7 linked regions of the Mus musculus genome follow. The protein of the gene in region 1 interacts with the protein of each later gene in a biochemical or structural test. Links are inferred from orthologs where the notes say so. Each region holds a gene or a part of one and is shown in the gene's direction. Other genes may lie near its edges.

The links.
Region 2: the proteins of Cdc42 (region 1) and Mcf2 form a complex in vitro, tested with the Homo sapiens proteins (2 studies listed by BioGRID). The link is inferred for Mus musculus from reciprocal best matches to the Homo sapiens genes CDC42 and MCF2.
Region 3: the proteins of Cdc42 (region 1) and Trip10 form a complex in vitro, tested with the Homo sapiens proteins (3 studies listed by BioGRID and IntAct). The link is inferred for Mus musculus from reciprocal best matches to the Homo sapiens genes CDC42 and TRIP10.
Region 4: the proteins of Cdc42 (region 1) and Eif2ak2 form a complex in vitro, tested with the Homo sapiens proteins (2 studies listed by BioGRID and IntAct). The link is inferred for Mus musculus from reciprocal best matches to the Homo sapiens genes CDC42 and EIF2AK2.
Region 5: the proteins of Cdc42 (region 1) and Pak1 form a complex in vitro, tested with the Homo sapiens proteins (11 studies listed by BioGRID and IntAct, with this or other methods). The link is inferred for Mus musculus from reciprocal best matches to the Homo sapiens genes CDC42 and PAK1.
Region 6: the proteins of Cdc42 (region 1) and Cdc42ep3 form a complex in vitro, tested with the Homo sapiens proteins (2 studies listed by BioGRID). The link is inferred for Mus musculus from reciprocal best matches to the Homo sapiens genes CDC42 and CDC42EP3.
Region 7: the proteins of Cdc42 (region 1) and Ncf2 form a complex in vitro, tested with the Homo sapiens proteins (2 studies listed by BioGRID and IntAct). The link is inferred for Mus musculus from reciprocal best matches to the Homo sapiens genes CDC42 and NCF2.

The regions. Positions count from the first base shown.
Region 1 is NC_000070.6:137,326,760-137,330,259, reverse strand, and holds part of Cdc42 (cell division control protein 42 homolog), read left to right. Parts: intron 1-1,135; coding exon 1,136-1,245; intron 1,246-1,349; coding exon 1,350-1,547; intron 1,548-3,500. UniProt on the Homo sapiens protein: Plasma membrane-associated small GTPase which cycles between an active GTP-bound and an inactive GDP-bound state. In active state binds to a variety of effector proteins to regulate cellular responses. Involved in epithelial cell polarization processes.
Region 2 is NC_000086.7:60,176,290-60,180,281, reverse strand, and holds the start of Mcf2 (proto-oncogene DBL), read left to right. Parts: upstream 1-1,192; 5' UTR 1,193-1,375; coding exon 1,376-1,700; intron 1,701-3,992. UniProt on the Homo sapiens protein: Guanine nucleotide exchange factor (GEF) that modulates the Rho family of GTPases. Promotes the conversion of some member of the Rho family GTPase from the GDP-bound to the GTP-bound form. Isoform 1 exhibits no activity toward RHOA, RAC1 or CDC42.
Region 3 is NC_000083.6:57,261,824-57,264,197, forward strand, and holds the end of Trip10 (cdc42-interacting protein 4), read left to right. Parts: intron 1-530; coding exon 531-649; intron 650-1,176; coding exon 1,177-1,325; 3' UTR 1,326-1,874; downstream 1,875-2,374. UniProt on the Homo sapiens protein: Required for translocation of GLUT4 to the plasma membrane in response to insulin signaling. Required to coordinate membrane tubulation with reorganization of the actin cytoskeleton during endocytosis.
Region 4 is NC_000083.6:78,869,073-78,872,572, reverse strand, and holds part of Eif2ak2 (interferon-induced, double-stranded RNA-activated protein kinase), read left to right. Parts: intron 1-1,303; coding exon 1,304-1,424; intron 1,425-1,839; coding exon 1,840-1,919; intron 1,920-2,037; coding exon 2,038-2,086; intron 2,087-3,062; coding exon 3,063-3,097; intron 3,098-3,500.
Region 5 is NC_000073.6:97,880,939-97,884,438, forward strand, and holds part of Pak1 (serine/threonine-protein kinase PAK 1), read left to right. Parts: intron 1-2,533; coding exon 2,534-2,650; intron 2,651-3,500. UniProt on the Homo sapiens protein: Protein kinase involved in intracellular signaling pathways downstream of integrins and receptor-type kinases that plays an important role in cytoskeleton dynamics, in cell adhesion, migration, proliferation, apoptosis, mitosis, and in vesicle-mediated transport processes.
Region 6 is NC_000083.6:79,352,292-79,356,398, reverse strand, and holds the start of Cdc42ep3 (cdc42 effector protein 3), read left to right. Parts: upstream 1-1,307; 5' UTR 1,308-1,582; exon of another isoform or gene 1,583-1,700; intron 1,701-4,107.
Region 7 is NC_000067.6:152,813,653-152,817,152, forward strand, and holds part of Ncf2 (neutrophil cytosol factor 2), read left to right. Parts: intron 1-3,338; coding exon 3,339-3,447; intron 3,448-3,500. UniProt on the Homo sapiens protein: Subunit of the phagocyte NADPH oxidase complex that mediates the transfer of electrons from cytosolic NADPH to O2 to produce the superoxide anion (O2(-)).

The DNA.
Region 1 (3,500 bases):
TTTCTTAGGACTTCCTATGTTTAGTTTTTGCCATTTTTATTTTGTGACCCTTTCACCTCTGGCTAACTCCTAATTATTTTATTCTTTTTACATCTCCTTCATTCTTGCCAAGTTCCTTTTTTCTAGGCCTTTCCAGTTACAGATACTGACTTTAACATGCACCTATGGATCGAGCATTGGACTTAGTCTGGTAGTTATTATGGATGGTGGATGCCTTCAGTAGAGTATTTTGTTAGGTGGTCTCACTGTGATCTTTAGTAGCTAGAAGTAAATATGATTTTTTTCTTAAACTACACCTGTAGTAATGATTTATTGTTGTTACATTACTACTAAGTTATTAATAAAGAACTTAAAAAAAAGTAGTATGCCAATTTCCTTGCTGTTTAATTTAGTGGCATATATAAATAGAACCAGCACAGAGAGTATTGTCCAAACAGCATATTACAAAGCTATACCTTTGATTAGCAAAATTGCTTTGTCACTAATGGCTGATATGCTAAGAGCTGAATACCTGAAGTCTTAGCGGAGCTGTAGTCCCCTGCCCACCTCTTTTTTGAAACAAGACTTTTACTATGTAGTTTTGACTGACTTGGAGCTTGGTTTGTAGACCACCCAAACTTGTAGTGATCTCCTGCCTCTGCTTCCTGAGCTCTGGGTTTATGGGCATGCACACTATCTCCATTTTTTTCCTTTTAGATTACATGTATGTATGTATATATGTGGAAGCACATGCCATAGCATGTATATGTGGAGGTCAAGAAGCTAAACTTGGGGGATTTGATTTTCTCCTTTCACCGTCTGTTTTCTGGGGACTGAATTCAGGTTGTTAGGCATGTCATCTTTACCACTGAGTGATCTTGTTAGCTCCGCCATGTTCATCTTTGACAATTTTTTTGATATATGATCTCATGGTCACACCTAACCTTCCTGCCTCTGTCTCACTAGTGCTGAGATTATAAGCTTGTGCCAACCATGCCTGTTTTTAATGTGGTATAGGGCTTGAGTCCAAGGCTGTATGTGTGCTAGGTTATCACTCTGTATACTAAATAGCTATAGCCTTAGCCCCTGACCTGTGATTTTAATGCCGCGAGGATACCAAATCTCAGTTGCCAACCTCTCTTAACTCTTTCTTTAGGGCAAGAGGATTATGACAGACTACGACCGCTAAGTTATCCACAGACAGATGTTTTTCTAGTATGTTTCTCAGTGGTCTCTCCATCCTCATTTGAAAATGTGAAAGAAAAGGTAAGTCAGGTTCTGCCCTTTGAAACATGCACAGAATTCCTGTTGCCCTGTTACAGTTTCAGTGGCTTGTGGATTAACAAAACATTTTAAAACCTTGCTTTTAGTGGGTGCCTGAGATAACTCACCACTGTCCAAAGACTCCTTTCTTGCTTGTTGGGACCCAAATTGATCTCAGAGATGACCCCTCTACTATTGAGAAACTTGCCAAGAACAAACAGAAGCCTATTACTCCAGAGACTGCTGAAAAGCTGGCGCGGGATCTGAAGGCTGTCAAGTATGTGGAGTGCTCTGCCCTCACACAGGTAAGGAGGGCTCTGGAACCTATGTCTCTGTAGTCAGTTGTTTTGAGCATTAGGATACAGAGGCTCTTTCCTTTTATTCTTTCTTTTTTCCCTTAAAAATTTGTCCGTGAATGTATACTGTGTGAGTGTAGTTCTGCAGAGTACATAAACTGACATGACTATTCCAAGGTATAGTTGAGAGGAAGGTTTTTTATTGTAGATATGAAGGAAAGACATCAGGAAGAATCCAGAGATGAGAGAGAAAATAGACTGAACATGGCCAGCAAACTGGACTTGGCCATGGTGGTGGTGGGGTTTGAAGGAAGAAGAGAGAGGAGGACCAAGAGAGGGCTGAAATAGAAGGGAATGAGAAGCTGGAGGTGGAGTGGGGTGGGGTGGGATGGGGGCTTCTGAGCTGGAGAAGTTGAGGGTAAGGAGTGGGTGGAGGTCAGCATGCACTTGGTTATGCTAATAGGCACCCTAGGTAGCAATTTGTCCCTTCTGCCAGTGATAAGGAAATGACTTCCTGAGGAGTGAGGGCTTTTTGTCCATCTGTCAGAATTTGGCCCTGACATTTCAACCTTTTGTTTATGATAAGGGCAACATAATCTCTTCTGTAACTGCTTCTTAGTTGAAATTAGGACATTGATGTCAGAGCTCTGGAAGACTGGGATGCCTGTTTAAGGTTGGGAGATTCCAGTGCTCTGAGCAGTCTGGAATGACAGAGACCACTATCTAGACAGTTGTCCCAGATTCCTGTGGTCCTGTTGCACTGTGGTCAGAGGTGGTCTTTGGCCATTAGGCCAGAAGAGGGAGGCCTTTTTTTTTTTTGTGGAGAAGGAACATGGGAGAGACTGACCTCATCTTGTCTTCAGCAACACTTAGCAATAAATCATAGCAGTAAGTTTTCCCGTGTCCGGTTTGCCCACAGTGCAGGCTGGGCCCTAGTGGGCAAGGCAGGGGCCAGTCTGTCCACTGGTCAATGTACTCTAATCCAGGTTTAGTCTTTTGTCATTCTGCCTATATCTTCTTGAAGAACTTGCAGAGGTGGGTTGTGTATCACTGTTAGGATTTGGGAGTCACTGTCATATAATAAGTTTAAGCATATTAAATGCCATAGTCAACAGGTCTCTGACAGGCTTGAGGGCTAGTACCCACCGAGCATATCTGAGTTAAACAATCTTTGTCTGTTTTCAGGTATCTGCGCTAAACTGTACCTTGCAAACATAAAACAAGGGGCTAAGTAAAACTTCATCTTGTAATTACGTCAATTCATAGAGAAACCTCAAATATATTTTTGGACACATTAAAAGATTTGATCATTTATTTATAAGGTTACTATCAACTTGCATTTCTTTTTTTTTTTATTAAGATTTATTTATTTATTATATGTAAGTACACTGTAGCTGTCTTCAGACACTCCAGAAGAGGGTGTCAGATCTCATTATGGGTAGTTGTGAGCCACCTTGTGGTTGCTGGGATTTGAACTCAGGACCTTCAGAAGAGCAGTCAGTGTTCTTAACCGCTGAGCCATCTCTCCAGCCCCTTCACTTGCATTTCTTAATTATCCTTAACAGTTGACAATAATTTAGTAGCTTCCTAAGATTAGGACTTTGTGGGGCTTTTTGTTTGTTTGTTTGTTTGTTTCTTTGTTTTCGAGACAGGGTTTCTCTGTGTAGCCCTGGCTGTCCTGGAACTCACTTTGTAGACCAGGCTGGCCTCGAACTCAGAAATCCACCTGCCTCTGCCTCCCAAGTGCTGGGGTTAAAGGTGTGAGCCACCACCGCCTGGCTAGGACTTTGTGTTTTATCTCTGTTAAGTTTAGATTTAAAAATTAAGATTTTGATTTTGCTCTTCTAGTATCAAAATAAAATTTCTAAATCTATAAATATAGTTTATAATTAGAGACTGGGCACATTTCTGACCTTTATAGAACATAAAAGCTTCCTTGGTAGCCTGTTTCTGTGGTCAGCT
Region 2 (3,992 bases), on another chromosome or scaffold:
CCTCCCAAGTGCTGGGATTAAAGGCGTGTGCCACCACTGCCCGGCTTCTATAGCTTTTCCTTTTTTTTTTCCAGATTATAATTTATTTACCAGATTTCTTTTTTCCCCCTTCCCTCCCTCCAGCCCCTCCCCCCTACCTCCCTGCTAGCCCTTCAAAGTCCTGCTGCTCTAGCTTTTGTTATGAGCAGCTAGCTTTCCCTTACTCTTCCAAAGCTTTCTTCTGGGGAGCTTTGGGCTTAGGAGAAGGGATTGGCTGGGACCTCCCATCCTTTCTCACTTGGTTCTTCAAGAGGATGTCTTGTCTTGCTGCCACCCCCCCCATTCCCCTGGTCAGTTTGTTGTTATTTTTCGTTTTAATTGCGTATGTGATGTTTTTGAGACAGGATCTTTTGTAAGTAGCCCAGACTGGCCTGGAATGGGCTATGTCGCTGGAGATAACCCTGATCCTTCAGAGTCCATCTCCTACCCAGAAGTGCACACTAGGAAAACACTCTACCAACTGATCTGTATGTTCAGATTCGACTTTGGTTATTATTTATTTTTGTGCATAACATATGTATTACAGTGCATGTAGAGGTCAGGGAACACTTATGTGGGATCAGTTCTCTTATTATACCATAACTTACACAGGGTTCCTTTAACCCAGGTTGATCCAGCAAGTGTTTTTTACCTCACAGTCTTCTCAGTAGCCCATTTCTATTTCCTCCTTTCCTTTTTAAAGCAAGTCAGGAAACTTGGGCGAGTGCAGGCTGGTGGGGGGCAGGGTGGGAGAAGGCACATTCAGGCTAGAGCTCCAGCCCTTTTGGACTAACCAGGGCTGCTTTTCTGGCATCAGCAAAGCTCTCCAACAGTGTTATCTGCAGGTGCCCACACTGTGTATCCTTACTCCACTCCTGCCCTGCCCTGAGAAGCAGGATGCAAAGGAAGAAAACTCTTGACTCCAGCTCCCACTGCCTAGAGTGAGAGGTCGGGCGGTCTCCTCCCTACACGTGCTCCAGCCTTCCCTACCCCTCCGCGGGCGTATCTGTGGGGGCTGTCCCCTCTGGTTCTCGGTGTCCCGCCCCTGATCCATCCTGTTGGAAACTAGGCGGGGACGTGGGTGTACATCCACTCCGAGCGGAGTTGCTCAACTCTCAGTAGCTGAGGTCAGAAGTGCTCTGCAGCCAGAGTCTTGAAATCTCTGCAAGTTTCTGGGCTCCCTGTCCTGGGGCTTGTTGGTCCCAGCTAGGGGGCTCTAGTCTTCTAAGCCACTGAGCTGCGTAGACTGCGACCCTTCTGGCCGCGTCTGTGCTTGCACAGACGGGCTGCTAGCGAGCCAGAGTCCGGCAGTGGCCAGTTGAGGTTGGGGTCACCAACTAGCGAGTCTGGCTTGAGGATGGCGGAAGCAGGGCCCCCTCCAGCAAGGTTCCCTCCAGCAAGGCTCCCTCCAGCAGGGTCCTCTCGGGCTGGGCTCCCTCCAACAGGGTCCCCTCCCGCTTCCACTCCGGCCCTGGCCTCGCAGTGGCTGGCGGTCAAGCGTTTGCCTAGGGCTGCCGCCAAGGCGCCCAATCTCCAGCTGAATCAGGACCACTGTTCTTTCGTGCCGTTCACGCAGGCGGTCCCGGTGCAGGTGGACATGGCCATGGCCCTGCATCGCGTTAGGATCGCGGAGAAGTACGGGAAGAACTACCTCTGCTTGCTGCAGGCAGTCTTCCTAGCAGGTGAGTACCACATCCCTGTGCACTCCCACTCAGTTGCCTGGAACACTGGGCTCTCTCCCCTCTTCCCGGCTCCCTCCTCAACCTGTTCGGGTAGGGGATGTCTGGTGCACTTTGTCTTCTCTGCTCTCTCTCTCTCAATCAACCTCTCTCTCTCTCTCTCTCTCTCTCTCTCTCTCTCTCTCTCTCTCTCTCTCTCTCTCTCCCTCCGTCTCTGTCTCACTCTCTCTTTCTCCCTCTCCTTTCCCTGCCCCCATTCACTCCATAATCCACCCCCCCTGCTGTGGCACTCCTAGTTTAGAGCCGCCCAGACTGTGGACCTCAGTTCCTCAGGCCAGCTGCCACTCTGAGGATGTGTGTGGCTCTCTGCTCAGCTCAAGCCCCGCAGGTGGACCCCCAGAAGCCCGCCATGCAAGGTGAGACTGTTCCAGGTCTCTTCCTCACTTCCCACCACCACCCACCTGGATGCCTCTTGGTGGAGTTGGGAATGTTAAGGGAGGAATCTTCCTACACCGCATTCTGTACCCTAGAGCGGAACCTTGCTGAGGAGGAGGATGCAGATGCACTTCCCTGTAACACTCCCTGTAGTTTTTAAAGCGAGGTTTATTTACTTGTGTGGGTGGTTGCTGTTTGTTTCACGTACGCGTGCTAGGGCCAAGTCAAAAAGGCGCTTGGATTCTGAAAGCCGCGGGCCTGAAGTTGGAGGAGGAGTTTGCAGGCAAACTGCGGTCAAGAATTTGGGTTTTCTCACTAGGACCGCCACTTCTTTCCAGCCTGGTCCTATGAGCTTCCTGTCTTCCTTCAGCTCTTACTACAAAGGCGAAAGGCTCTTTCTTACTTGCCTTGGAGGGACAAAACCAAAGCTAACAAATGTCTTAACTGCTGCCACTGTTTTGGTAAAAAGCTTAAGAGTAGTGAGAGGCGGCACTTGATGTATACATATTGAGCTAGTCGGAGTTGCTTGGCTTTGGACTCTTGGTGTACCGTGAAGCATGCAGAGGCTCCTAAAATTTAAAGTTCCTCTAATACCATTAGCAGTCCAGGAATATCCGCCAGGTGCTGCAGCTCTGGCCATGTCTTTTGTGCGTCTGTGGTGCTTGCTTACCCTGCGGTGTTCCTTGTAATGGGAATTTGGGAATTAAAAACTAGACATGGTGTAGTTTTTCTTTTCTCAAATCAGGTAGCCACAGTGTGTGTTCCAAATTCCTCTTCTTGTTTGAGGCTGTCCACGAATTGGAAGGAGGTCACGTCGATGACTTCGGTTAAACCACAGGAAACCCAGGGCTCTGTCTAAAGCTTGGTAACAAAGAACCCTTTGGTCTTGAGTATTTTGTTTGGAAGCGGTCAATGTTATTTTCTGTATGTAATAATAAATCATTAAGGGAAGTGTGGGAGTGGGGCACACACTTTTTCAGGGTTTCAGGGCAGTTTAAATGGATGTGGGAGGCAAAAAAAAAAAAAAAAAAAAAAAGGAAGCCTGTGCACAAGTCGTGTGCAGTGGGGGCTAAAGATCAACTTCGTAGAAAAAAAACACATAAAAAATGAAACAGTCTCACTTTGTAGCTCAGGACCAGCTCCAAATAATCCTCAGTGCTGAGAGGGCATAGGTACATCCTCATGTCTACCACCACTCATAACACATAGGCACTCACATGTACACACACACACACACACACACACACACACACACACACTTGTATGGATACGAGAGAATGAGGTGTTCTGGGGCCTGTGTGTTGGATGCTAGGCAAATGCTCTACCTCTAAGTTACAATCCTGGTGGGAAAATGCCACAAAAATGAAATACAAAGGGATGATTCTATTGCCAGGCATTTCTTTCTTTGTTCTCAGTTCATTTTCTTGATCCTTGGAAGTTTCTAACATGCTGCCACTGTGGCATGGCAATACATCCTAGCACTCTGTTGTGTTTTAGTGGAGGTGGGGGTGGGGAGAGGGATACAGTAGTGGGGTAGGGAGACTGGCAGCTATTTGTGTTCAGGTATTTTTCAGCAGTTACCACCATGTCCCTGCAAAGATAAGTATATCTGTGGCTGGGACACACCCTATAGGATATTATAACTTTATGTTGTTGTTGTTGTTGTTGTTGTTGTTGTTGAGGTGGGCATTTAAAAAACTTGCCTATGTTGCTTTTGAGCTCCTGGTTTAAAGGATGTGCTTCAACCTCTAGAGTAACCAAAATTACAGGTTTGTAACCCCGTGTACAGCTTGGGACTTATTTTGCTCTTTTCAAAAATACACTGTTTTGTTCTCTTTTTAGTGCGTATATGTGTGGGAG
Region 3 (2,374 bases), on another chromosome or scaffold:
GGCCTGGTATAGCACTGGCCTAGAATCTCCCAGTGAGGGCCTGTGGATGTGGCCAGGGTGGAGCTCCAGTTTAGAATCCCCCAGTGAGGGCCTGGGGGGCTGGTCAGGGGTGGAGCTCTGTCTAGAATCCCTCAGAGTGGTCAGGGGTGGAGCTTTGCCTAGAATCCCCCAGTGAGAGTTTTGGGTGTGGCAAGGGGGGTGGAGCCCCAACCTCGAATCCCTCAGTGAGGGCCTGGGGGCTGGCTAGGGGTAGAGCTCTGCCTAGAATCCCACAGTGAGGGCCTGGGGGCTGGCTAGGGGTAGAGCTCTGCCTAGAATCTCACAGTGAGGGCCTGGGGGATGGTCAGGGGTGGATCTCTGTCTAGAATCCCCCAGTGTGGTCAGGGGTGGAGTACTAACCTAGAATCCCCCAGTGAGGAGCTGGGGTGTGGATAGAGGTGGAGCTCTGCCTAGAGTCCCCCAGTGAGGGCCAGGGAAGTGATTCAGAGACCCTGGGGGTCATGCTCCTGTCTTTTTTTCCATTTCTCAAGCAGCTCAGAAGAGCCCCCTTCAGAAGGCCAGGACACCCCCATCTATACTGAGTTCGATGAGGACTTTGAGGAGCCTGCATCCCCTATCGGCCAGTGTGTGGCTATCTACCATTTTGAAGGTGGGCCTTTAGCACAAGTTAAATGTTTCTGTTTTGACAAAGGAACTTAGTCTGAAGCCTGTAGCTCGGTGGTAGAGTGCTTGAGCGGTGTCCTTGAGGCTGTCCATTCAGTCTCCAGTATTAGCCAAAGGAAAGACCTGAGGAGTCACCTTAAGGAAGGGTTTATTTTCTTATTTGAAACCATTTTTGTGTTGTGTGTGAGAGAGGTGGGTTCCCTCCTACTGTCTATGTCCTCGGTATCAAACATGACAGCTGGCATCTTTACCCACAGAGCTGCCTCAGACTCTCAATTTTCCTTTGTATAGTACAGGACCCCAACCAGTGGGATGGTGTTGCCCATATTCATGGTGGGGCTTCCCATCTTAATTCAGACAATCTAGAAGCTCCCTCTCGGACATCCCAGAAGTTTGTCTCTGAGATTAGAAGATCCCAGGTTCCCCTTACACCAGGGGATGTAGCAGTTGCTTGGAGCCATGCCTTCTGATCAGATTCATCAAATCTGACCTGCCCCCGCTACTCCCCAACAGGATCCAGCGAGGGAACCGTCTCCATGTCCGAGGGGGAAGACCTCAGCCTGATGGAGGAAGACAAGGGTGATGGATGGACGCGGGTCAGGAGGAAACAGGGAGCTGAGGGCTACGTGCCCACCTCTTACCTCCGAGTCACACTCAACTGAACCCCACCAGAGGGGGACGAGGGGCAGGGCTGTCAGCTGCTGCTTCTGGGCCACAGGGGGGGCCCCCAGGACCTTGCACTTTATTCCTGCCCACGTGGCTTTTGGCTGAGACCTGTGTAACCTGCTGTCCCTCACTCACCTGTCACCTGTCACCCTACGGGGACCCACTTGTGGCTTCCCACGTGGTTGTACATATTTGTCATTTAAGATCTTTCTTCCCGCCGCTTGGCTTGAGCCAAGTTTTGTTTTATATTAAAAAAGTATATATAATTATATAAAGTTCTTGGAGTCTGCACCGCCAGTGTCGGGAATGGACCTTCAAAAGGCATCTCTGTGGAGAGGTGGTTTGGGAGTCGGGTTTTGGATGCTCTTGCAGAGGACCAGGAGTTGGTTTTCAAAAGCAGCTCCCAAAGCTCACAGACATCCAAGCCTAGGCCCCCTCTGGCCGACTCTGGCAGTCGCACTCATACCTGCATGTATCCTGCCCAAGTTAAAATGAGATAAAAGCTTTCTTATGAGCCCCGTGTGGAATAAATGGAGGTGAACCTCGGTGCGCTCTGGCAAGCCTGCCTTGTGCATGTTACCCATGCTTGTGATCTCCATGCTCTAGAACAGGCATGTCTACCTTCCGTTTCCCTAGAGTGCAGAGATTTCCCAGCTGCCGGGATGAGTGGTTCATACTGGAGCGTGAGTGTTGTTCTGTGGATACTTGAGTGGGTTTATTGGTAAAAAGGAGGCAGCTGTTACACCCCAGTCTCTTGGGGTCCATTTTTGTACCCCAGTCTCTTGGGGTCCATTTTTGCACCCCAGTCTCTTGGGGTCCATTTTAAGAGGAAGATTCTTATAAACTTGGACCTGGGAGGGGAGCAGAATTCAAAACAATTTCCCCATAGTTTTCATAGAGCCCAGGCTGGCCTCAAACTTATGTAGCTAAGGATGGTCTTGAACTCCTGATTCTCTCATCTGCATTTCCCAAGTGCTGGCGTGATGGATGTGGGCACCAAGTTCAGTTTGTAGCCTCTTGAATAGCTGGAGGCAGTGTCCTTGGG
Region 4 (3,500 bases), on another chromosome or scaffold:
GCAGAAACGGGATTGGGAGTACATAAAATGCCTACTATTCTACTGGTGTTTCTCAACCATCCACTGACTGCTCTTCCAGAGGACCCAGGTTCAATTCCCAGCACCCACAGGGCAGCTCACAACTGTATGTAACTGTAAGATCTGACGTTCCCACACAGACATACATGCAGGCAAAAACCAATGCACACAAAATAAAAAATAAATTTGAAAATTAAAAAAATAAAAAGTTTGAGGCTGCGGAGTCTATCACAATCCAATTTGGCTGGTTTACTTTGAAATTTCAGTTATCTTTGGTCAACCAGATGGAGGAAGACCATTTCAAAAACCTAGAAGTAGGGCATACTGCACTAATAGTTCTATTTTATTATTGGCTGTTAGTCTTTTTCTATCTAGGCTATGAGATGAACTTTATCATAGGAATGTTTAAGGAGAACAATGAGTTCAATGTAATCCATGGTTTCAGTCATCCGCCAGCCCCCTGCCAATAAGAGGGGACTGCTGGTTTTTGGAGGTGCATCTGGGCAATTAGTCCACTAAACTTTTTTAAAAAGTTCAGGATGCCCATGGATCAGGGACGAAGAGCTCTTCCCTTCCCTGAGGCCACAGCAGCTGCAACTGTGTAAGAACCATTCTGTCTGTACATGGAAACGACTCTATATCAGTTTCGGTTAGAGAGCTGCTTGTCTTGAGTCTCTGCTCCTCACATTTGGATAAACGGATAGCATGGATCAGCAGGACCGGTCTTAGTCCTACTGTGTGAAGAGCGCAGTTGTGAGGGATATGCTGTGTGAACAAGGGTTAGAACCTGGAGGTCCTGAGCACATTGTCAGTGTGCTGTCTTCCCCAAAGGCCACAGTACTGTACCCTCAGAGCTTAGCCCCTGTGAGCCCCATCCTACCAACTGTTTTTCTCTCCTATTTGAACAGCTCTGGAAAAGGTGCTAGACCTTTCCCTCTTCTCTTCCCTCTACTTGGGATTGGAAAGATTCCATTTGGTTTTTTGTTTTTGTTTTTGTTTTAAATCATCACTTGGTGTTTTGCTGTCAGGTCTTTCAATGAGGCAAGAAAGACTTAGATGTTGCCTGGGAAATGTAGACAAGGATATAAGCTACTCCTGGTTATTTACATTAGATTGATGGCCATTTTGTGGGGATTAAATTATGTGAGGTAGGAAATATAAATCTAAATAAAAAAAATTCTTAGTCTGATTTTCAGGCCTTTATTTGTCTGTAGGGGCCTTTTCAAAGTGTGCATTAGATGGACGATATTTTTGATATGTGAATGAATACTCTAATTTTTCCTAGATTTATTTGTAAATGCAAAATTGGGCAGACAATGTATGGTACTGGTTCAGGTGTCACCAAACAGGAGGCAAAGCAGTTGGCTGCGAAAGAAGCCTATCAGAAGCTGTTAAAGAGCCCGCCGGTATGTGTTGCCAGTTAGATTTAATTTGTACAATCATGATTCCCTTTGAAATTGACTTCAGATTGCTTTGTCTTTATACTGCGGGCATATGCCTATTGAGTAAAGAATGGTCCCTCCATCCTGTGTACCAACAATGATCCACGAACCATGGGGCCACGAGGGTCTGAGACATAAAAGTTCTATAGCAACTCGGGGTTGCTTTTTAAAACTTAGCCCAAACGTCCATGAAAAAATGTGTTAATTTTGTGATTGCAATTGTGGAGTTGGTGGCCACGGGGAGAGTATGTGCAGTAGTGTGTACCCAGTGACAGACCTCCTCAGAGAGGCCAGTTAGCTCCCTGTGAACAGTGATGGACTGCCTCAGGGAGACCAGTTAGCACCCTGTGAACATGCTAAGGGCTGTCCCTTCTTTCAGAAAACTGCCGGAACATCCTCTAGCGTTGTCACATCTACATTCAGTGGCTTTTCCAGCAGCTCGTCTATGACAAGTAATGGGTGAGCTTGGGTGGCAACAGTGCTGGGCAGGCTGAGGGTGTGGCATGTCTGAGGCTGTGGGTCCTGATCCCCCCCTCCCCACCAGACTGAATTCATCAAGGTTCCCCTTTTCTTGTAGTGTTTCCCAGTCAGCACCTGGAAGTTTTTCCTCAGAGAACGTGTTTACGGTAGGATACCAGCCTTGAAGTTTCCCATTTCCCTTTCTCTCCTCACTTAGATGTGATCTTTCCATATGATTATGATCATTTCATAAGTTTTACATTTCAGTTTCATGTCCTTACTAGATCATGATATTAACAGTCATTGCCTCTTTTCTGTTCTCTTTATTAACTTTCATTCATATTAACTTCTCTTCTTCAAGGACAAAATTCTTCCCCACTCTCCCCCATCCTTTCCCACCCACTTTGTAACCCTCCCTCCCTCCCTCCCTCCCTCCCTCCCTCCCTTCCTTCCTTCCTTTTTCTTTTCCCTTCTTCCCTTTCCTCTCTCCCTTCCTCCTTTCCTCTTTCCCCCCTCCCTCCTTCCCTCTCTCCTTCTCTCCCTTCCTCCCTCTCCTCTTTCCTTCACACTCTCCATCCCCTACCCCTACTCCTCCCTCCTTGCATCCTTCCCTGTGCTGGGATTCAAATTCTAGCTATAAATAGGTATTCTAGCCAAGTTCTGCTACTGAACTCTCTCCTGGCCCTTACCTTTGTTCTTTTTAACGTTTCTACTTTCTTTTTCCTTGTCCATTCAACTGAATAATATTTGGTGTAGTTCCACCCCTACTTAGAATCAGAACTAAACTTAAAAATCAGGCAATTTGTTGTAAAAATCCATCTATTTACTAAGAACTACAAGTCTGTAAGAAAAAGACAGTTGATCCAGTAGAACAGATATGGTCTGAAGGGATGTGCTACACCTAAGTGGGCAGCGAGTGGGAAAAGATGCTTCATTCCCCTAGCGATGAGGAAAGTGCACCTCCAAATGGCCATTTGATGGCATGCCACAGCTGCTTGGCAATCCTGCAGTAAGCGTTGGTAGCGACTCAGAGAAATGGCCGACCTAGGAAGCTGATGTAAGGAACCTGGTCACGGGGCCAGCTCCCAAACTAAGACGATGGCTCTCCTCATCTGAAACAGCTTCCTTTTCCTTTTGTTGCAGAACGGTCTCGGAGAAAATAAAAGGAAATCAGGAGTGTGAGTATCATTGTGCACGGAACATATTTCAGACTAGGAATCTCTTTCAGACTCCGTCTATCAGACTCACCTGTTGACTGTGGCACTGACAGAACATTGTACGTGTGTGTTTGGGTGGTAGTCTCAGAAGCAGTGGAGAGCTGGAAACCAATTTAGCAGGAGAGAAACACAGAAACACACCACACACTTACACACTCACATCTTTGTATCTGTAGATACAAAAGCCCTGTGATGATGTAGCAGGCGCCAGTGGTGGGCTTGAGGGTGGGGAGACAGGGTGGTGGCATGGCTTTGTGGGGCTAATTCTGGTGACCTTTGAACATCTCACTGCAGATGGCTCACTATCAGAGAGGCATGAGGGCCAGAGGGAGGGGGGACCCAGGAGACCTTTGTCCTAAGGATG
Region 5 (3,500 bases), on another chromosome or scaffold:
CTGGAAAGAGAGGCCCATTGGACACGCAAACTTTGTATGCCCCAGTACAGGGGAACGCCAGGGCCAAAAAGGGGGAGTGGGTGGGTAGGGGAGTGGGGGTGGGTGGGTATGGGGGACTTTTGGTATAGCATTGGAAATGTAAATGAGCTAAATACCTAATAAAAAATGGAGAAAAAAAAAGCAACAAGATTTGTTGGGTACCTTTAATCTTAGCAATCAGGAAGCAGAGGCAGGCAGATCTATGTGAGTTTGAACATCTCTGGTCTACATAGCAAGTTCTAGGACAGCGAGGGCTATGTAGAGAGATCTGTCTCAAACAAATGAATATATGTGTATATATTATATCTGTATATAACATGTATATAATATCATATATAATATGAATTGTATATAATAATGTTATATTACATTCTATATAATATTAACATATATAATATGTTATTTCTACATAATTTATGCATATAGTACATATATAATATACATATGTGTGTATTATGTATAAATAAACAATATACTTATTTATATGATACATGTTATATATTATATATAATAAAATAGCAACAAGAAATCTAAAAATGTATATTTGTTGAATATTTCTTTTTTCTTTTTTAAAGATTTATTTATTTATTTAATGTATGTGAGTACACTATTGCTCTCTTCAGACACACCAGAAGGAGGCATCAGATCTCATCATGGATGGTTGTGAGCCACCATATGGTTGCTAGTAATTGAACTCAGGACCTCTGGAAGAGCAGTCGGGACTCTTAACTATTGAGCCATCTCTCCAGCCCAAATATTTATTTATATATTTACTATTTCTTGTGCTCTTCATTTTGGCTGATGGATTTGAGTTACCATTTGATGTTATTTTGAGTCTAGTAGAATGACTCTCTCTGTATATAATCATACACACACACACACACACACACACACATAAAACCTCACTAGTTGCAAGTAAGATATGCTAACATTCTCTGGTTTATTTTTTTAACCCCAAATGTGTTCATCTTTATTAAATAATTTTATTTCTTTAGTTCTATTTGAGGGGGTGTGCACATGCCCATGTGTGTGTGTTGGGGGCAGTGGTAGAGGACCATTTTCAGGAGATAGTTCTTTCCTTCCACCCTTTGGGTCCCTGAGATCAAACTCAGGTTGCTGGGTTCCGTGGCAGATGTTCTTAGTTGTTGATATATCTCTCCAACCCTCATCTCCATTTTTTAAAGGTAGTTTTATTGTATATAGATTTTGTGATTGTTAAGTTTTTAAAATGTTGGCTCTAGATTATATCATCCTATTGCCTTCTGGTCTCTGTTGTTTCATTTACATTTTTTTTTCTTGAGATAGCATCGTATAATGTAACCTACCACTCTCCTTCCTTCCTCTTCCCTTCCCCTCATTTTTCCTCCTTTCCCCTCAAATTATATAACTCTTGTTTCACATTTCCTCATAATATTTTAGAGGATGATGTACTGCCTATGGTGGTCATAACTTGGTGCTTATACGTGCTTGACACTGTCAAGTTTTGTGCTCTATTATGATGTGTTTTTATTGTTTGAGATTGCGCTTTCTTTAGTGTATCAAATGTTCAGTCTTTCTGGATTCTTCAACTTGTCACTTGTTGGGATTCTTGGCTTTCCTTTCTCAGGAGCTTCAGGTGGTAGGCAGGAGAGGGCCTCACCCTCTGGCTCTGTCTAGTGATGGTGACCTACTTCAGAACTTGGACCATCTTTTTTCATTTTTATGCCTTTGATGTTGACAGAATCCACCACAGTATTCTAGGCACTCTGAAAATATGTGAAATTTATGTCCATTTATCTGAAAAATCCATATTGCCTTTCTGGTCCTACTACTAAAACAATAACAATAAGAACAACTACTCATGTTTTAGATCCACTTATCTTGAGTCTGGTTATTTTTGTCTAGCTTTATTACAGTTTGCATGGGAAAATCAAGTTGCTGCAGATCATTTGCAGATCTAACTAGTGGTGCAGTAAAGTTCATCCTGAGGCAGGACTGAAGCTCGGGGAAACCCACAGGGTCTGCCACAGCCATACCCTATAATATAATAGGTTCAGGAGTTTGGAGAAAGGAAGTGGGGGTGCTATTTAGACTTTAAGTTACTATATTAAGAACAAATAATCACAGTGATAAAGTATAGAAAATTAAATACTTTTTATTTTCCTCTTTACACTTATTTTCTGCTCTTTATAAAGAGTAAAATTCACAGAATAAGGAGAACCTGAACATGGCTTTGAGTATTTGATTGTATAAGGCAGGTAAGGAAACTATAAGCTGGCTTACTACTCTTTAGTCTTTAGATGGGAAAAGGAAGCTTTCAGAGTGAATAGATAGTGATGGCTAAGAGAGAAGGAAGCTGTCTGAGTGAGACAGCTGACTGCACAAAGATGGAGAGCCTTGGTTGATGACCTTTCAGAAGAGGTGTCAGAATTGACTACCTTCTAAAGAACTAGCAGACCTGGGATCTGGAGTTCTATGTCCACTGGACCGGTTGATTTTTGTCCTTTCTGCATAGAATGTGAAGACTGTGTCTGAGACCCCAGCAGTACCACCAGTGTCAGAAGATGAAGATGATGATGACGATGCTACCCCACCTCCAGTGATTGCTCCACGCCCAGAACACACAAAATCTGTGAGTCTCTGGGGATCTTGAAGGCTATACGATTTATTCACATAAGGGGTGGCAGAAGCTAGGGAGGTAGTGGTACTAAGACTGGTGCATAGGGGTCCATAGACTGGCACTGGTGAAGTCATTGAACTACTTTTTTTCCCCCTCTCATGTGAATGGTCTTGATTCATAGTGATCCTTCTGCCTCACTCTCCCAAGTGCTAAGATTACAGGCATGCACTACTGTGCCCAGCTGGACCACTTTCTACATGACTAAAGAGATGTGGTGTGCTTGTTATTTCAGTTATTCCTAAAGTTCTCTAGGTAATTGGTGTTTATATCAGTCTAACCTTGGTTTACCTACCCTTTTCTTTACTGGTTAGGTATATAGAATGGTGCATTTCACTTTCAGAATAAAATAAATTATTCCAGTTTCTTAGGAAGCAGTAAATTGCCAGAGATTTTATTCTTTTGTTTTATATTATGTAGTGGTCAGCCTCTCCAGCATTTTTGATAATCCTGAAAGACCTGGGAGAGTTTATAAATACATTAGTGCTATTAATATGCTGGACATTAGGAATGCATTTTGATGCCAGATATTGGTAGTGATTTCTCTTTTAACTTCCTTTGAGGTTCCTGCATTTTAGAATAGCCACACTCCCTCCTTCTGCACTTTGCCCACTCTGCAACTTTGCCTTTTGATTTAGCATCATTGAATAGTGATCTCCCATCTGATGATACTCTGAAATACTACTAATGTTTGTTTTGGCTGTTTAGTATGAGAACTCCATAATGAAAGAATCCTCTGAGACTTAAGCTCTGTGTTGATTAAATGTCTTAATGGAAGGTGCTGTGGAGGAAATTCAGTTAGATG
Region 6 (4,107 bases), on another chromosome or scaffold:
TTGTGTCCGCTTCCTTTTTAAATTCATCTTAACGTCGACCGTGGTTTAGGACCTGGGCTTAAAGTGCACCCGGTCTAAGGTTTCAGAGCGATTCAGATTGGGGGCACCCTTGTGATGACCCCGATAGCGCCCAGGGAAGCCAAGGTCTCCAGGAGGGGCTCTGCTTTGTGCCAGGATTTCCAGGCAACCTGAGAGTCCCAGGGTTGGGGCCAGACCTGGAGCGTGCGACTACTCGGGGTTCTAGCTCCTTTTCCAGGTCAACCAAGCCGGCGGGGGACATCAACGCCGGAAAACACCACCTTTTCCTGTCTCCAACCTGGCGGACTAAGGGAGAAGGAAGAGAGGGCGACCAATTAAGACAATTAACATTAATTCTCTGGGTTCCTACAGAGGTCCAGGGACAGAGGGGCGGGTCGTCCTGAGGCCCTGGCTGGGTGACCGACAGGTGCAGGTGTCGCCACGGGCGGAATTTTACGGTCCGGAGCAGCAGCAGCTGCGCCACTTGCGCCGCCTCGCAGAGCGTCCCGGAGAGCCGCCACCCGCTTCCGCAGCTTTAGGTCAATCTCTGACAGACCTGGAGGGGGAGGAGACGTCACCCTCCCGACAGGAAAAACCTGCTGCGTCTGCGTTTCTCTGCGTCCCGCAGGCTCTCAGCCTCCACCCCGCGTCTCCCGCGCGTCAGATCCGCGCTCCAGGTTTTGGCGACAGCTTGCAAGGGGAGCCGGCTGCACGTTGACAGCACGCGACCCTCCTTTTCCCTCCCGAGAGCTACAGCTGCCAGGGGGTCCCCAGGGAGCTGCGGCCGCGCTGCGGCGACCCGGTCAGGTGGCCCTTCTTCCCCGCGCAGGTCCCCTTCCTCCGCTGCGAAGCCCCGCACTGCTAGGTGGGTTAGGTAGGACAGGGAAAGGCGGGGACACGAGGGTGAGCACGAGGGTCCCGGGTGCGGGCGGAGTCCCATTGTTCTCCCGCACCGTACGGACAGCAACGCTCTGGGGTCCCCTCTTTAAAGGGAGCACCCCGCCACTTTTCTTTGTGCCTGAGGGAGCCCCAGCCGGCATTGCCTCTGAGAGAAGCCACCACTGGGAAGGGGTGGAACTGGGAGGTGACAGTGGGTAGCCTTTGTCCTCCAAGAGTCCGCAGCCTCGCCTCCAGTCCTGCGGGTCTGGGGGTGGTGGGGAGGTGGGGGACAGGTACAACGGAGGGACGGTCCAGGTCGGCCCGCACCCTTCTCCCCGCCCTGCCCTGGCCTCACAGCCCCGCCCCGCCCCGCGCCGGCCCCGCCCTGCGTCCTGCGCCCCGCCCTCGGCAGGTTGAGGCCCGGCGTCCGGCAGCCGCGCGCACAGTGTCGCGGGCGCTTCCAACTGCCGCTGGGAGCACAGCAGCGGGACGCTCACCGACAACCCAGTTCCGCAGCGGCTGCCTCCCGGGAGACGCCGCGCGCAGTCCCGGAGCAGATTCTGCGGTGAACCGTTGCCGCCCCTCTGGTTCTGCGCGCACCAGCGAGGACTGTTGCGCCCTCGGGAGGCGACCCGGGCCGACGCCCGGCCCTCCGGGCAGAAGCTAGGAGCCTTAGAGACTGCTGGTGAGTGTGTGACCCAGGCTGTCTCTCCACCTGTAAGACTGTCCGACCCTCAACCTAAGCCCCCTTCCAGCTAGTGCAGATGGTGGCCTTGGAAGACTTAGAGGGTGCGAGGATAATCTACCGCACCGCCTGGTTGAGCTGATGTTTAGAGGATCAAAGGGGACATCATGCTTGACGTCCGGGAGGGGGGATCAGGACGCGGAGCTCTGCCACCTACTTCTTTAGGGTGGGGCTGCAGTCAGCACGGCCCCCTCCAGGCCATTGACAGCCATTCTGGGCGCGTGTTGCGTTTTTCCAGCAGAACAAACCGCACTTGGCTACCGCGGCCCTCTAGTTGTGTGTTTGCACCGATGCGGCGCGGCGCGAGAGTGCACCGCGCAGCTTGGCAGTTTCCGAACTGACAGAGGCAGCACATTGTAGCTGAGGCTCCAACCTGCAGATCTGGCAGTTGGGGGAAAAAAATTTTTTTTTTCTTTCTCGACTGCGGTTTCTGAACAACTGAAGCGTTTACAAGATCTTTACTCCCTCTTCCTCCTCCTTCCCCTCTCCTTCTCCTCCTGCCTCTCCTCCTCCTCTTCCTCCTGCTATTGCTCTTCTTCCTCTTCTTTTCTCTTCCTTCTCACTAAGTATCTTGACACAGCCATGCGAGGACGAATGGATCCGGCCAGTCAGTTTTTTTCTTTATGAATTATTATACTCCACCCCGCTCTCGCCTTTGGGAGGGAAGGCATGTGTTTCATCTTATAAATAGAAAGTAGCATATTTTTTGGCAGGACCTGCTTTATACTGCACCGTCTAGGAGAGGTCAGTTTAAAAATAAATATGCACTTGAATGTTACATTACCGAGCCGGCTGTGGCTGGGACAAGCTGCGAGTACAGCGGCATCAAAGCTGGGCGCACATCTGTGTTGAAAGGAGTTAAAGCCCCAGAGTGCAGCCCCGGCTGACAGTCAAGTAATTACATTTTGTTTAAAAAAAAAAAAGTGAGTGAATTAAAAGGAGGGTGGGAAGAGGAATGTCAGGCAGGGACTGGAGCCTGAATCTTTGCAGCCTTGGTGCGTTTGCGGGGAGTGGGCTGCTGATTGTGTGCAGTGTGTAGTGGGGGCTCTGGGGAGGGAACTGATGGATGTGTTGGGGAGACAAAGATTCCTTCTGCTGCTTCCTCACCCTGGCAGCTTGTAGCCCTCCCAGTATCCTCGAGTTCTGGGAGGGGGTGGAGGAGGGGTGCCGCCTTGAAAATATTAGGAGGGTAGCAGATGTCCCTGCTTTAATAGTAGACCCAGACTTGGGAACTCCCCCTTAACATCACAGGGAGAAATAAGCCTCCCCAGGAAGCAGCCAGGATGCCCCAGGGGCACCCCTAAGTCCATTAAAAGACTCCTGTAATGGTCTGACTTATAAAAGATCTTTCAACTAACAACTGAGCTAGGGAGTACAACTTCTGGACAGTTGTAGATACCTCCACCACTGTGATTTGATGGACAGTTTAGATGTCAGTATACACAAACACCTTTTTCAGAATGAAGGACTCGGCCATAAGGCCGTTATGAAATGTCTAGCGATGTAACGTGTGAGATAAAGGATTAAGATCTATATTCAAGGAATGGTTGACAGTCCATCTGGAAGTGCCTAGGTTTTCCAGGAGGCCTCACCCATGGTTGGAAGACGGGGCTACCAGTCTCGGGGCTCACAGCCCCTGGGCTCTCAGATGATGTTTAGAGGAGAACTTTGGAAGCCTTCTGGGTCTGTGGCAGTTTCTGTTTTCCAGCCGTCTCATCTGCTAGAGATTTGCATTCTGAATTCCATGATTGGAACATGGTGCCGAGGCTGTGGCAGCCCCCTGAAGACATGAAGTAAGATGAGCTCCTTCCCACCCCCCTAATCTGCACCCTGAAAGTCTGCCTCCTATCTTCAGGGCACCTAGAAAGGTGTCGAGAGTAAAGTACCTGGTGTACATTTGCTTTCTTGGTTTTTATTGTGAATTTAAATGGGGTCCAAGATGCATAGAAAGCTGTGACCATGATTGCAGAACGGCTCCCTGGAGCCAGGCGGCCCTATCTGCGCTCCAGTCTTCCCTTTAATGTGGTGTTTTGTTTTATGTCTGACATGTTCACAAAAGCTGCCCTTTTCCACTTATAAACTTCCTGCTATTCAACAGCATTGGGGATAAAATCTCTTTAACCTATATCACCCTAAGGTTTTTAACCAAGCCATAAAACTTTCACAAGTCCTTTGCCCATTTAGACATAGCATTTATCCAATGGGTGGCAATACAGTTCCCAACCTAAAAGCCCTTAGAAAAATTGTGCCAATTTATTACTAGTACTACTACTACTTATTATTATTATTATTATTATTATTATTACCACCATTGTTTCAGTCTGATTTCATAAAGGCTGTCTTTCTAACTAGAATCCCACTGATTTTTTTCATTAAGAACCGAAAAATTGTATTTTTAAATACACTATGCTTCCCAGAGAACAAGTAGCAGATTCAACCAGGCCAATTAAAAAAAATCTCTTAAA
Region 7 (3,500 bases), on another chromosome or scaffold:
GGAACAAGTGAAAGGGGGAAGGGATGTTTGCCCCAGAGGGGCAAAGGACTGCCTCTGGATAGAGAGGAGATGGATGTGGCCCATAGGCAAATGGCACTTTATAAAGGTAAAGGGGAACCCCTGAGTTAGGGTGGGTTGTTTTGTTTTGGTTGGGCTTGTTAATTAGCCAAAAGGGGGGGGCTTTAATAGCTGGACCCTGGTAGTCAGCCTCAGGAGGAGGAAGTGGCCAAATAAGGAAATAGACCTTGGGGCTAGCTTTAGGAACTGAACCCAAGGGTTTTTAGCAGGGGGAGAAAGGTAAAAGCCAAAGCCTATCTGCACCCTGTCCTCCCTGTGTGCAAGTGTTTTACCTGCAGGAATGAATGTGTAGCATGTGCATGCCTGAGGCCCATGGAGTCCAGAGCTTGTACCAGATCCCCTCGGACTGGGGCTATGGATGGATATGAGCCACCATGTGAGTGCTTGGAATCAAACCGCAGTCTTCAGTGAGAGCAGATACCACTCTTAACCACTAAGCCATTTCTCCAACCACCATGCTTGGCCTTTGTTACGTGAGTCCTTGAGATCTGAGCACAGGTCTCATGCTTGAGGAATAAAAGCTTTACAACTGAGTCTTACATAGGGTTTCATTGCTGTGAAGAAACACTATGACCAAATCAACTATTTATTTTATGTGAGTACACTGTAGCTGTCTTCAGACACACCAGAAGAGGGCATCAGATCCCATTACAGATGGTTGTGAGCCACCATGTGGTTGCTGGAAAGAGCAGCCAGTGCTCTTAACCACTGAGCTACCGCTCCAGCCCTCAAGGCAACATTTAATCAGGCTGGCATACAGTTTCAGAGGTCTAGTCCATTATTGTCATGGTGAGAAGCATGGCAGAGTCCAGGCAAACATCATACCATCTACATCTTGATCTATAGGCAGCAGGAGGTGACTGAGCCACTGGGCATGTCTTGAGCATATGAGACCTCAAGCCCCACCCCCACAGTGACCCTCTTCCTCTAACAAGCCCACACCTTCTAATAGTCATATTCTCTATTTGTATGGTCTATGGGGGCCAATTCCATTCAAACTATCACACCCATATGTGTTGAATTAATTATGAGTATTAAACGAAGTAGACAAATGTCTACTTCCAGGAAGGTGTAGATTAAAAGGGGGAACTAAGTCTGTGACTGTGGTGTAAAGCAAAGTTGGGCCCCAAGCAGATTGGAAGTGCACAGTGACCTAGAGAGGTGAGTTGATATTGAATGGGTTAGGCATTCCTTTCCATTGCACTGGGGCTTGTCTTAACAGGGTCATTCCTACCAAGGAGGGTTTGTCCCCTCGACCAGACCACTCACTCACCCGGCTTCAGTGTTGCTTGTCTTAAATTCTAGCAGAACAAAGTCAGAAGCGTTTCCCAAGCAGCAGATGGTAGCTCAAGATGACTCTCTCCCTCCCATCAAACTTCCCTGTCCCGACCTTGTCAACCCAAAAAAGGGAGCAGGGTATGTGGGGGGCGGGGGGAGGGAGTGGGGAGGCACTGTAAGTTATCATTCACACAATGAGCCTCCTGGATCTTCAGGCTGTGGAAATAAAAGCAGGGTGAGACCTTTCAGAATAGGGCGGAGCTGGTCTAGAAAGGGGAGGAGGTAAAGCCTTCTTCCTGCTGGGCTGAGAGGATTGGCCCTGACCACCAGGGGCAGCATGCTGGGGGTGCGGCCTGTTTCGACTCCTCCCTCTCACTTATTCCAGTCTGTGAGCTCTGGGACTCTAGACTGTGTGTGTGTTGGTAGCAGAAGGCAAACAGCAGCTTCAGAGGTTACCAAGGGGTCCCTATGGGGTTGGTGACAGAAACGCCAAGTAAAAGTACTCTGGAGCCAAGAGCCTGCCTGCTCTGGGGGTGTGGCTGTTTCTCGGCAGATGTCTTAGGAAGCCTCCAGATGGTAGAGGAGGGCACTTGGAAGGGGGCCAGCCAGAAGGGCTGGACCTCTTTCAAAACTGGTCCTACTCAGACCTGTGCAGTGGGATCCAGAGCTGTATGTTAAAGCCGAGCCGCTTGCCCTGGGCGCTGCTGAGGTCACAAGCGCGGGGGGGGGGGGGGGGGGGTGAGGAGGGAAGCCAGGCAAATGATTCGTGCAATGGACATCGGGGCTGGGGGTGTAGCTCAGTTGGTAGCGCTTGCCTAGCTTGCAAGAAGCAAGCTTAGCTCACTTGATTCCCCCATCATACACTGGGTACAATCCAGCATTCAAGAGGTAGACGCAGAAGGACCAGAACTTCAAGGTCATCCCAGGTTACACATTGAGTTTAACACCAGCTTTGGATACATCAGACCCTATTTCAACATAACAACATTAACAAATGGGCAATACGTTAGCAGAGCTGCCCCATCCACCAGCTCCTTCTTACAAAACAAGCACTCTGGGTAACTTGTCCTTTTTCTAAAACAAAACAAAACAAAACATTGTGGACATCTTGATGAGACAGAGAATTGCACGGAGAACTTTGCTGAGTCCCTACAGTGCCAGGTAGACTCAGGGCATCGCCACAGCTGAAAACCACCTGCTCAGCCAACTCTGCAGGGAGCAAGACACGATTGTACTGTTAGTGCTGATGACACTTAAAGTGTCCCCTCTGAGATTGTCCCTGCTCCCAAACAGGCTGTGGAACACAGTGGGAATTGTATCTGCTCATAGAACAGGACACCTGCACCCTCCACCTGCCCTCTCCTTGCTTCAGGGGACCAGACAGCCACACACAGCCTGTGCTTACAGACAGGGGTCCAGGAAGCCTACCTTCTCATTCTTTACAGACCTGAGATAACGTCTCCCTCTTCCCCAGACTGTGTGGAGGGGGCAAGAGGCCACAAACCTCAAACTGGACTCAACAGAAGACACAACAGGCTCTAGGCAGGAGGATGGTACCCACAGCTATAGCTGTAACGAGGAACCCCTGGCAGCTGTGGCCAGGCAGATCTGTCCTTGAGCGAGGGTGGTGGGGACTGCTTTGAGACTCTTCCAGAGAGAAGCAGGGTGGTTCTGCTTGGAGCTCTCCAGTGAGGCTGAGAGCTGTGTTTGAAGGTCACTCAGGTCATCAGAAAGGTGGGAACTATGCATACAACACTTAGAGAAGAATAATCTACATTGCTGTCATAGACGGAAGGTCCCCACAAGCTGTGCTGGTTAGCCCCAGTGTGCAAAAGTCATACATAGTCTGTAAAAGTCTTTGCGCTCAGGGTTGGAGAAAAGGGAGAAGGTCAAACAGAGCAGGAGGGCTTCTTGACGTGGGCTCTGCATTTCTCTCTCCATGACCTGCATGGGACCAGCTCTCTTCTCCTCCTGTCCTGCAGGTACGACCTTGCTATCAAAGACCTTAAAGAGGCCTTGACGCAGCTTCGTGGGAACCAGCTGATAGACTACAAGATCCTGGGGCTGCAGTTCAAGCTGTTTGCCTGTGAGGTGAGGAGGGCAGGGATGGCCCGCGAGGGAAGCACAAAGGTCTAGCTGTTGTG